2 linked regions of the Mus musculus genome follow. The protein of the gene in region 1 interacts with the protein of each later gene in a biochemical or structural test. Links are inferred from orthologs where the notes say so. Each region holds a gene or a part of one and is shown in the gene's direction. Other genes may lie near its edges.

Region 1 (4,151 bases):
ACGTAATTTTTAAATTCTATTTTATTTATTTTGTGTGTGAATATGTGTCTGTCCACATTCATGCTATAGCATGCTTGTGTTGGTTGGAGGAAAACCTGCAGGAGCTAATTCTCTACTTCCATTGTGAAGGTCCCAGAGATCCAACTCAGATCTTTGGGCTTGCTTGGCAAGCATCTTTACCTACCCAACCATCTTACCAGCCCAGCGTGGGGGGAGGGGGGGACAGAAAGACAGAGACAGACAGAGACAGAGAAAAGGTGACAGTGAATTTAAATTGATTTAGTTACCTTTGTCCACAGCTACCACCCTTTCCCTCCTTCTCCCGTGAAGTGAGCTGGGTTGCACGTCCTCTGGGCAATCAGGCAGAGGATTTGTACGACACTGGGGCCTCAGCACACACCTGAGCCCCCCTGCAGGCCTGTGTCTTCACACTGGAGTCAGGACCGACTTCACAGCTTCACAGTGCTGCCTGCCGTCCACCACCCTCCAGATTGCTTCCTCATTATAAAACGTAAGATATACTCCCTCAGCAACTCAGGGTGGCCCACTCCTACCAAGTCTGACAGCCTGAATTGGACACCTGGGACCCACATGGTGGAAGGAATCAGATGTCCTCTGACCTCCACACAGGCTCTGTGACATACTTACGCTCCAACACACAAAATTAATAAATGTGGCAAATAAACGAATAAGAAATTATGGAAGCTGGGCATGGTGATACATACAGCTTCTAACTAATCCTAGCACTGGCGAGTTAGTATGTTGAGGCCAGCCTGGTTACCTAGTCTACATAGTGAGTTCTGGAACAGCCAGTTCCATGTCAAGAGACCCTCTTAAAAAAGAAAGAGAGAGAGAAAAGAAAGGATGGAGATGTGGCTCAGTGGTAGGATGCTTGCCTAGTAGCATCCTGAATCTGTATGATGGCTCAGGCCTAAAGGCAGGAGGATGTGTTCAAGGCCAACCTCCACCACATAGAGAGCCTTTGGGGCTAGCCTGGATTACCACTATCTGTTTAAATGAAACAAAGATGTGAGGCAGGTCTTCAAAGGTTAACTGTAAGCCGGGTGGGTTCCCTTAGCATTACTGAGGGCCACTGGCCCCTGGGGCTGCAGAACTCTCTTGGCAGACTAAAGTACCCTAGTGGCCAAGGCAGGGAAGGAACAGCGTAACTAGGCGGGAAAGCCGGGTGCGCGCCCAGGAGACCATGTGACGTCTCGGGCCCGCGCAGGCTCGCCCGGCAGGCGCGGGGGCGGGACGCGCGGGGGCGGGGGCGGAGCCTGGCGCGCGGCCCCGCGGTGACAGGGCGGTAGGGAGGGGCGGGGCCGCGGGCGGGGCAGCGGGGGGAGGCGGGAGGAGTGGAGATGGCGGCGGCGGCGGCGGCTCCGGGGGGCGGGGGCGGGGAGCCCAGGGGAACTGCTGGGGTCGTCCCGGTGGTCCCCGGGGAGGTGGAGGTGGTGAAGGGGCAGCCATTCGATGTGGGCCCACGCTACACGCAGCTGCAGTACATCGGCGAGGGCGCGTACGGCATGGTCAGGTGAGGGGGCGTCCCGGGAGGGGGCTTCGGAGCAGGGACAGCAGGTGTGTGCTCGGGACATGGGGGGCTCAGGGAGTGTCGCAGGGGAAGTATCGTGCAGTGACTTCTGGAGGACTAGGCGCTACTTTCTCCAGGGAGGGGGGTTGGAGGCTTTGAAGCCACCTTGTATTGTTAAGGGAGGGGCACCTGGGGGACCCTAGAGATAAAGGTGGAGCTAAGAGGATGAAGGGGGAGTGAGGGACCCACGAGCAGGTAGTGGGAGCCTTGGTTCCCCCCTGATGAGGCTGTGACAGAGAGTTTGAGAGAGGAGAGCAAAGCTCAGGGTGGGGCAAACCTTTGCACCTCTGCCCCTGGCAAGGCTAGGGGCCCAAAGTAGGGAAGGGTCTCTAGAATGTGCCTTATTTTGTGGTATACGGGTTTGTGAGTTCTCGCTGCCCCACTGTGTGCTCTGCTCTGGGCCTTTGTTCCTATGGGAGCAGCTCTGACCCAGGAACCGCACAGGGAGACCTGCCTGCCCCTCCTTATCTCTTCTCTCCTGTCCCATTACTGAATCCTCTAGGCTTCATCTACTTTCTCCATTTAACTCCTATCCCCTGGACCTGTCTGGGATTGAGAGAGTCCAGCTTGGGAAAGGGGAGGAGGGTGAGGGCAACTAGAATGTAAGAGGGTCCAGGAGAAAGGAAGTCGGTGAGTGGCCACTCTCTTCCTCTGTTTGTGAAGTCACTGAAAGGCTGCCTGGCTGATACCCAGCTTTCCCCTGGAGATCCCAGGCCTTCACAGCAGGAAGGAGCCAGCATTGTTTACATTTGGCCAGAACCCTCTCCTCCTCTCTCCAGTCCCTGCCAAGACCTGGGTGGGGCCAACAGGCCTGGATTCCCCCTTTGTAAGGCCACATCTCTCTGGCCCTCTCAGCTCAGCTTATGACCACGTGCGCAAGACCAGAGTGGCCATCAAGAAGATCAGCCCCTTTGAGCATCAAACCTACTGTCAGCGCACGCTGAGGGAGATCCAGATCTTGCTGCGATTCCGCCATGAGAATGTTATAGGCATCCGAGACATCCTCAGAGCGCCCACCCTGGAAGCCATGAGAGATGTGTATCCTTCACCTTAGCCACAGCCCCAGAGTAAAGCTAGGGAGCTTGGCTCTGTTGTCTGTGGTCATCTTTTGTACTACCCTCCAAAAAAAAAAAACCCCAGCAAAGTAACTTTTTAGCAGAGAGTCTACAGAGCATGAGAGCACACTGGCAGGCCTTGGATCCTGGTCTGTCGCAGCCAAGTGGAGTGGCCTTGAACACATCCCTTTCTGCTCTGTGCCCCAGTATGGTGTGTGGGGAGGGAGAATGCTGTGGAAAAAACGATCTCTATGGGAGCTTTGTCTTCTGACATCTGCAGGTCTGTGACATGACCCAGTCTCTGCCCACAGCCTGTTCTTGCTCAACAGACTCACGATTCTTTCTTTAGAGACCTCACACTGGATGGAAAGCAAAGAAGAAAACCGGTATTGGGCAGGCCTAGTGCTTTGGTTCTAATTCAACCTTCTAGCTTCCCTGTGTGACGGATGAGTTTTACTGTGTCCATTTCAAAGATAAGGAAACCGAGGCTCCTCTGTGTTAAGTTTTGCAGTGCCTTCTAGGGGGAAGGGGAGTGGGCGATACTTAATCCAACATGGAGGCAGTGGAGGCTTTCAAACCACATTGTATTGTTAAGAGGGGGAACCTGAGGACCCTAGAGTCACAGGGTGGAGCCAAGCCTTTGCACTCCTGCCCCTGGCTAGGCCGGGGGCTCAAGGAAGGGTGAGGGGCCCTGAGAGTCTGCCTGAATTCGGCAGTTCCTGTTAGTAGCTTCCTCTTCTCCCCCAGTTGGCTTCCCTGGAGCCTTCCCACCTTTCTGAGAGCCCCACCCTGATCACCTGTGGACTTGTACCTTGACCAGGGAGGTTAGTCCAGCCCTTGTTGCCCTTGCTTGACACTACTTGCCTAGTTCAGACATCCAGTTCATTGTCCATATCTACTTCCTGCCTGGCTCCATTGTTAGCAGACGGTAGCACCCATGGCCTTTTCCCTACCCACCCCTCCCAATGCCAGGATTTGTTCTACAGCCTCTGCAACTCTGACCACAGGAAATCGACATACTCCCGTCTTGCTGCATGACCTTCAGCAGGTCTCTGCATCTCTAGACTTGCACATTTATAAAGCAGCAGGGTTGGTCCCTGTGTGTATATATCTGCAGGTGCTTATTCCCTCGTTTCTTCTTTTTGAGAAAGGGGTCTTGCTATGTAGATCAGGCTAGCCCTGAGCTCACAGGGATCCAACTGCCTTTGCCTTGGGGGTGACACCAGCCCCAGTTTACATGTCTTCTATAGAAGACAGTTCAGACTTCAGTTTTTTTTTTTTTTTTTTTAAGAAAGTTTCACAGTGTATCCCTGGTTGGCCTCAGGCTAACTTTGTAGACCAGACTGGCTTTAAACTTCTAGGCAATCCTCTAGCCCCTGCCTCCCAAGTGCTGAGATTATAGGAGTGAGGTGCTCTACCCAGCTCCTGACTATTCTTCCAAAGATAAGCCATTTGTTTTTGCTTAATCTTTGTTTTACCTTCAAGTATAAAAGGACTCTTAGTTC
Region 2 (3,654 bases), on another chromosome or scaffold:
AAACAAAAAAACAAAAAAACACCAGCCGTGAAGCCATGAGGAGCAAGCCAGGAAGCAGTGTTCCTCTGTGGCTGTTGCTTCAATCCCAGCTTCCAGGTTTCTACCATAGCTTTCCTCAAAGATTGGGATGTAAGCTAAAATAAACCCACCCCTGCCCAGTTTACTTTGGGGCACTGTATTTACAAAAATCATAGACAACCAACTGAGGCTCTAGGCAAAGCCACCACTTTGTAAATTACTGTTTCATTTTGCTCAGTTTTTGAGACAAGGTTTGACTCAGGAGCTCAAAGACTTACAGATCCTCATGTTGCTGCCTCACAAGTACTGGCCCTGGTTATCATCAGTTTTTTTTCCAAGGCATGCTTATGGTCTGTCTGTGTGTGTGTGTGTGTGTGTGTGTGTGTGTGTGTGTGTGTGTGTGTGTGGTGGACCTTGTTGTCATTAATTTTTTCCAAGACATGGTTATGATGTGTATGTGAGTGTGTGTGTTTGTGTGAGTGTGCTTTTGTATGCTTGTGTTTGTGTATGTGTATTTGTAGTTGACAGAGATCAACCTTTGATCAAGGTGTTTTTGTCTTCCTTTTCACCTTTTTTTCAAGACAGGGTCTTTCCTTGATCCTGGAACTCCATAATTTAGCTAGACTAGCTGACTAAGAAGCCCATGGCTTCTCTTATCTCCATCTTTGCTAGTCATGACAGTACAGGCACAAGGCATGATATTAGCTTTTCTTGTTACTATGGCTCTGAATTCAAGCCATCATGATTACCACAGCAAACTTAACGAATTCAGCCTTTCACCATTTCCCCCACTCCCATGTCTACAGTTTTTAAGTATTTACTTCTAGTTTAGAGCTTCCTCACAGGTTCAACATAAATTCAGTTGTTTTTCAGATATGTCAATGTCTGTACATTATAAGCATTGTTTTATATTGTAATGTTGATACTAACATGTGACCTTAGGAATGAACACAAAAGGCAAAATTACAAAAACAACTTTTAGGTCTTGGCAAAACATAATGTATAAAAGATAAAAGAAAAATTGTCTACAAAAAGATATGCTAAATGTAGAAGTAATTACTCAGGCTGCTTTCCAACAGGCAAATCTGGCATACCTATATTGCTAGTATTGCTGTTTTAATCTGTTCCTCTCTTTAATATCAAAAAGTCGATTGCGGTGGGTTTTTTTTTCTTTTGTAATGGGTTGATTAGCCAGACAATGATTTTTAAATTAGATATAATACCTATTTTCCTCTACGGTTATCAACTAACGAGAACAGCAGATATTAAATTGAAAAAATATTTGTCTAACGGGAGAAATAATGAATGTACTTGTTGGTGTTCAGGCTCAATTGCTATAACTAAAACATCTATAATAGCAACAGCTATAATAAGGTTGAAAATTGTTTCTCTACTCCACAGAAGTTCAGAGACAGCCAGAGTATTCTCCTCTTACCAGAGAGCAGCATTCTTTTATGTTGTTGCACTTTAACACATGGTTTCCATATCATACTCCTATTGCATTGGCCACATCTAAGTCATTACTAATGGTGAAAGCAAGGTTATATACATCTCTCTTCACATTAGTCACCTACCAGTGGAGATGTATTTTCACATAGCACTATTTAGTCAAGAGAAAGGCTGAGAAACAGATGTAATTTTATGGTATGATAAATAAGGATGCTATCAGACAATCAAAAATTGTTGCCATCTCACTGATAAGTGGATATTAACCCAGAAACTTAGACTACCCAAGATACAATTTGCAAAACATAAGAAAATCAAGAAGAGGGAAGACGAACGTGTGGATACTTCATTCCTCCTTAGAATAGGGACAAAATACTCATGAAAGGAGTTACAGAGACAAAGTTTGGAGCTAAGACGAAAGGATGGACTATCCAGAGACAACCCCACCCGGGGATCCATCCCATAATCAGCCACCAAACCCAGACACTATTGCATGTGCCAGCAAGATTTTGCTGAAGAAACCCAAATATAGCTGTCTCATATGAGGCTATGACAGTGCCTGGCAAATACAGAGTGGATGCTCACAGTCATCTATAGGATGGAACACAGGGCCCCCAATGGAGGACCTAGAGAAAGAACCCAAGGAGTGGAAGGGGTCTGCAACCCTATAGGTGGAACAACAATATGAACTAACCAGTACCCCCCCCCCCCAGAGCTCGTGTCTCTAGCTGCATATGTAGCAGAAGATGGCCTAGTACACAAAAATATACATGCATGCAAACCCACAAACATATATATTCTATATGATTTTCTGGATAGGATCTTTTATTTCTTTCTGATTCTTGTCTTGTAGGTTGTTTTTCCAGAAACAATGATCACTTTTTGGCTATTCGTCAAAAGAAGAGTTGGAAGCCGGTGTTCATTTATGACCATTCACAGGATATCAAGAAGAGCCTGGACATCGCACAAGAGGCATACAAACATAACTACCACTCCCCTTCCGAAGTTCAAATAAGCAAACATCACCAGATTATTAATTCAGCATTTCCTAGACCTGCATATGACCCGTCTCTTAATCTGTTGGCTGAGTCTGATCAAGATCTTGAAATAGAAAATCTCCCAATTCCAGCAGCAAATGTGATTGTGGTGGTAAGTACCAAGTTAGCCAGCACTGATGCTGGTCCTGATGTTGATAATGATGCTGAGGCTGATGTTAGCACTAGTGCTGATGTTCCCCTCTGTGACTGACACTGGAAAACAAGAGAGAGACTAATTGTGAACATTTAGCATTGGGTCTCAATGATTACTTACCAGGGAATTTCCCATTCTCTGATATGGTTTATTTGCTACTCATTATTTCTCTTCCCCATGAAATAAGATTTTTTTCTATGTCACAGGCATGGTCCGTAACATGTACATATGGAGAAATAAAGATTTTATTAGGAAGGCTTTACTGTTACAGCAGACCATATCTTATACAGAGCCTCCTGCCTTCTGTGTAATACATTCTTAAAGAATAGGCCTATTATCAACATGTATAAATAAGTAGCAATTGCCAACGATTCTCTTGACTCCGGTTGTAACAAACAAAGAGACAATTGAAACAGAGAGTTCTTATCGGGGAGGTTGATGAGCAGTGTTCTGTCACTGGAGTAAATAAAATTGGTTGGAAGGCAGAGATCTGTAATAATATTCCTAATATCCCTGGGCAAGCATTAACATTTCCATGATACCATAATCCCAGAAGGGTAGATAACCCAACCAGAGTTTCTCAAGCGGTGAAAGTGTTATATGAAAATCCATTCCGTGGTTCAATCTGTTTTTCATACTAACCAGTGCTCTCTCATACTGGTTTGAGGAGGACTGTCATGAGTTCAAAGCCACCCTGAGCCACAAAGCCAAATAAAGCCTTCAACATTATTGATGGTTACATGCTATATATATGAATTGAAATACCAAACTGTATTTAGAACTAATTTAAATTCTCATTTTAAAGCTTGATAACAAAAGCAAAAAACTCATACCAATCTATAAGTAAATGGTTTTTTTCAACTTCTGTTCAAATTCAAATAATTTGACTTTAGGGACAGCATAATTCAGTGAAAGTATGGTTATTTTGTGATAACTCCTATTCATAACATGATGAAATTGAACTGCACTTGTTTCATATGCATATATATATATACATGC

What was found. The genes of interacting proteins can lie anywhere in the genome.
Region 2: the proteins of Mapk3 (region 1) and Ptprr form a complex in vitro, tested with the Homo sapiens proteins (2 studies listed by BioGRID). The link is inferred for Mus musculus from reciprocal best matches to the Homo sapiens genes MAPK3 and PTPRR.

Annotation. Positions count from the first base shown.
Region 1 is NC_000073.6:126,758,285-126,762,435, forward strand, and holds the start of Mapk3 (mitogen-activated protein kinase 3), read left to right. Parts: upstream 1-1,341; 5' UTR 1,342-1,361; coding exon 1,362-1,534; intron 1,535-2,446; coding exon 2,447-2,629; intron 2,630-4,151.
Region 2 is NC_000076.6:116,045,781-116,049,434, forward strand, and holds part of Ptprr (receptor-type tyrosine-protein phosphatase R isoform a precursor), read left to right. Parts: intron 1-2,317; coding exon 2,318-2,613; intron 2,614-3,654. UniProt on the Homo sapiens protein: Sequesters mitogen-activated protein kinases (MAPKs) such as MAPK1, MAPK3 and MAPK14 in the cytoplasm in an inactive form.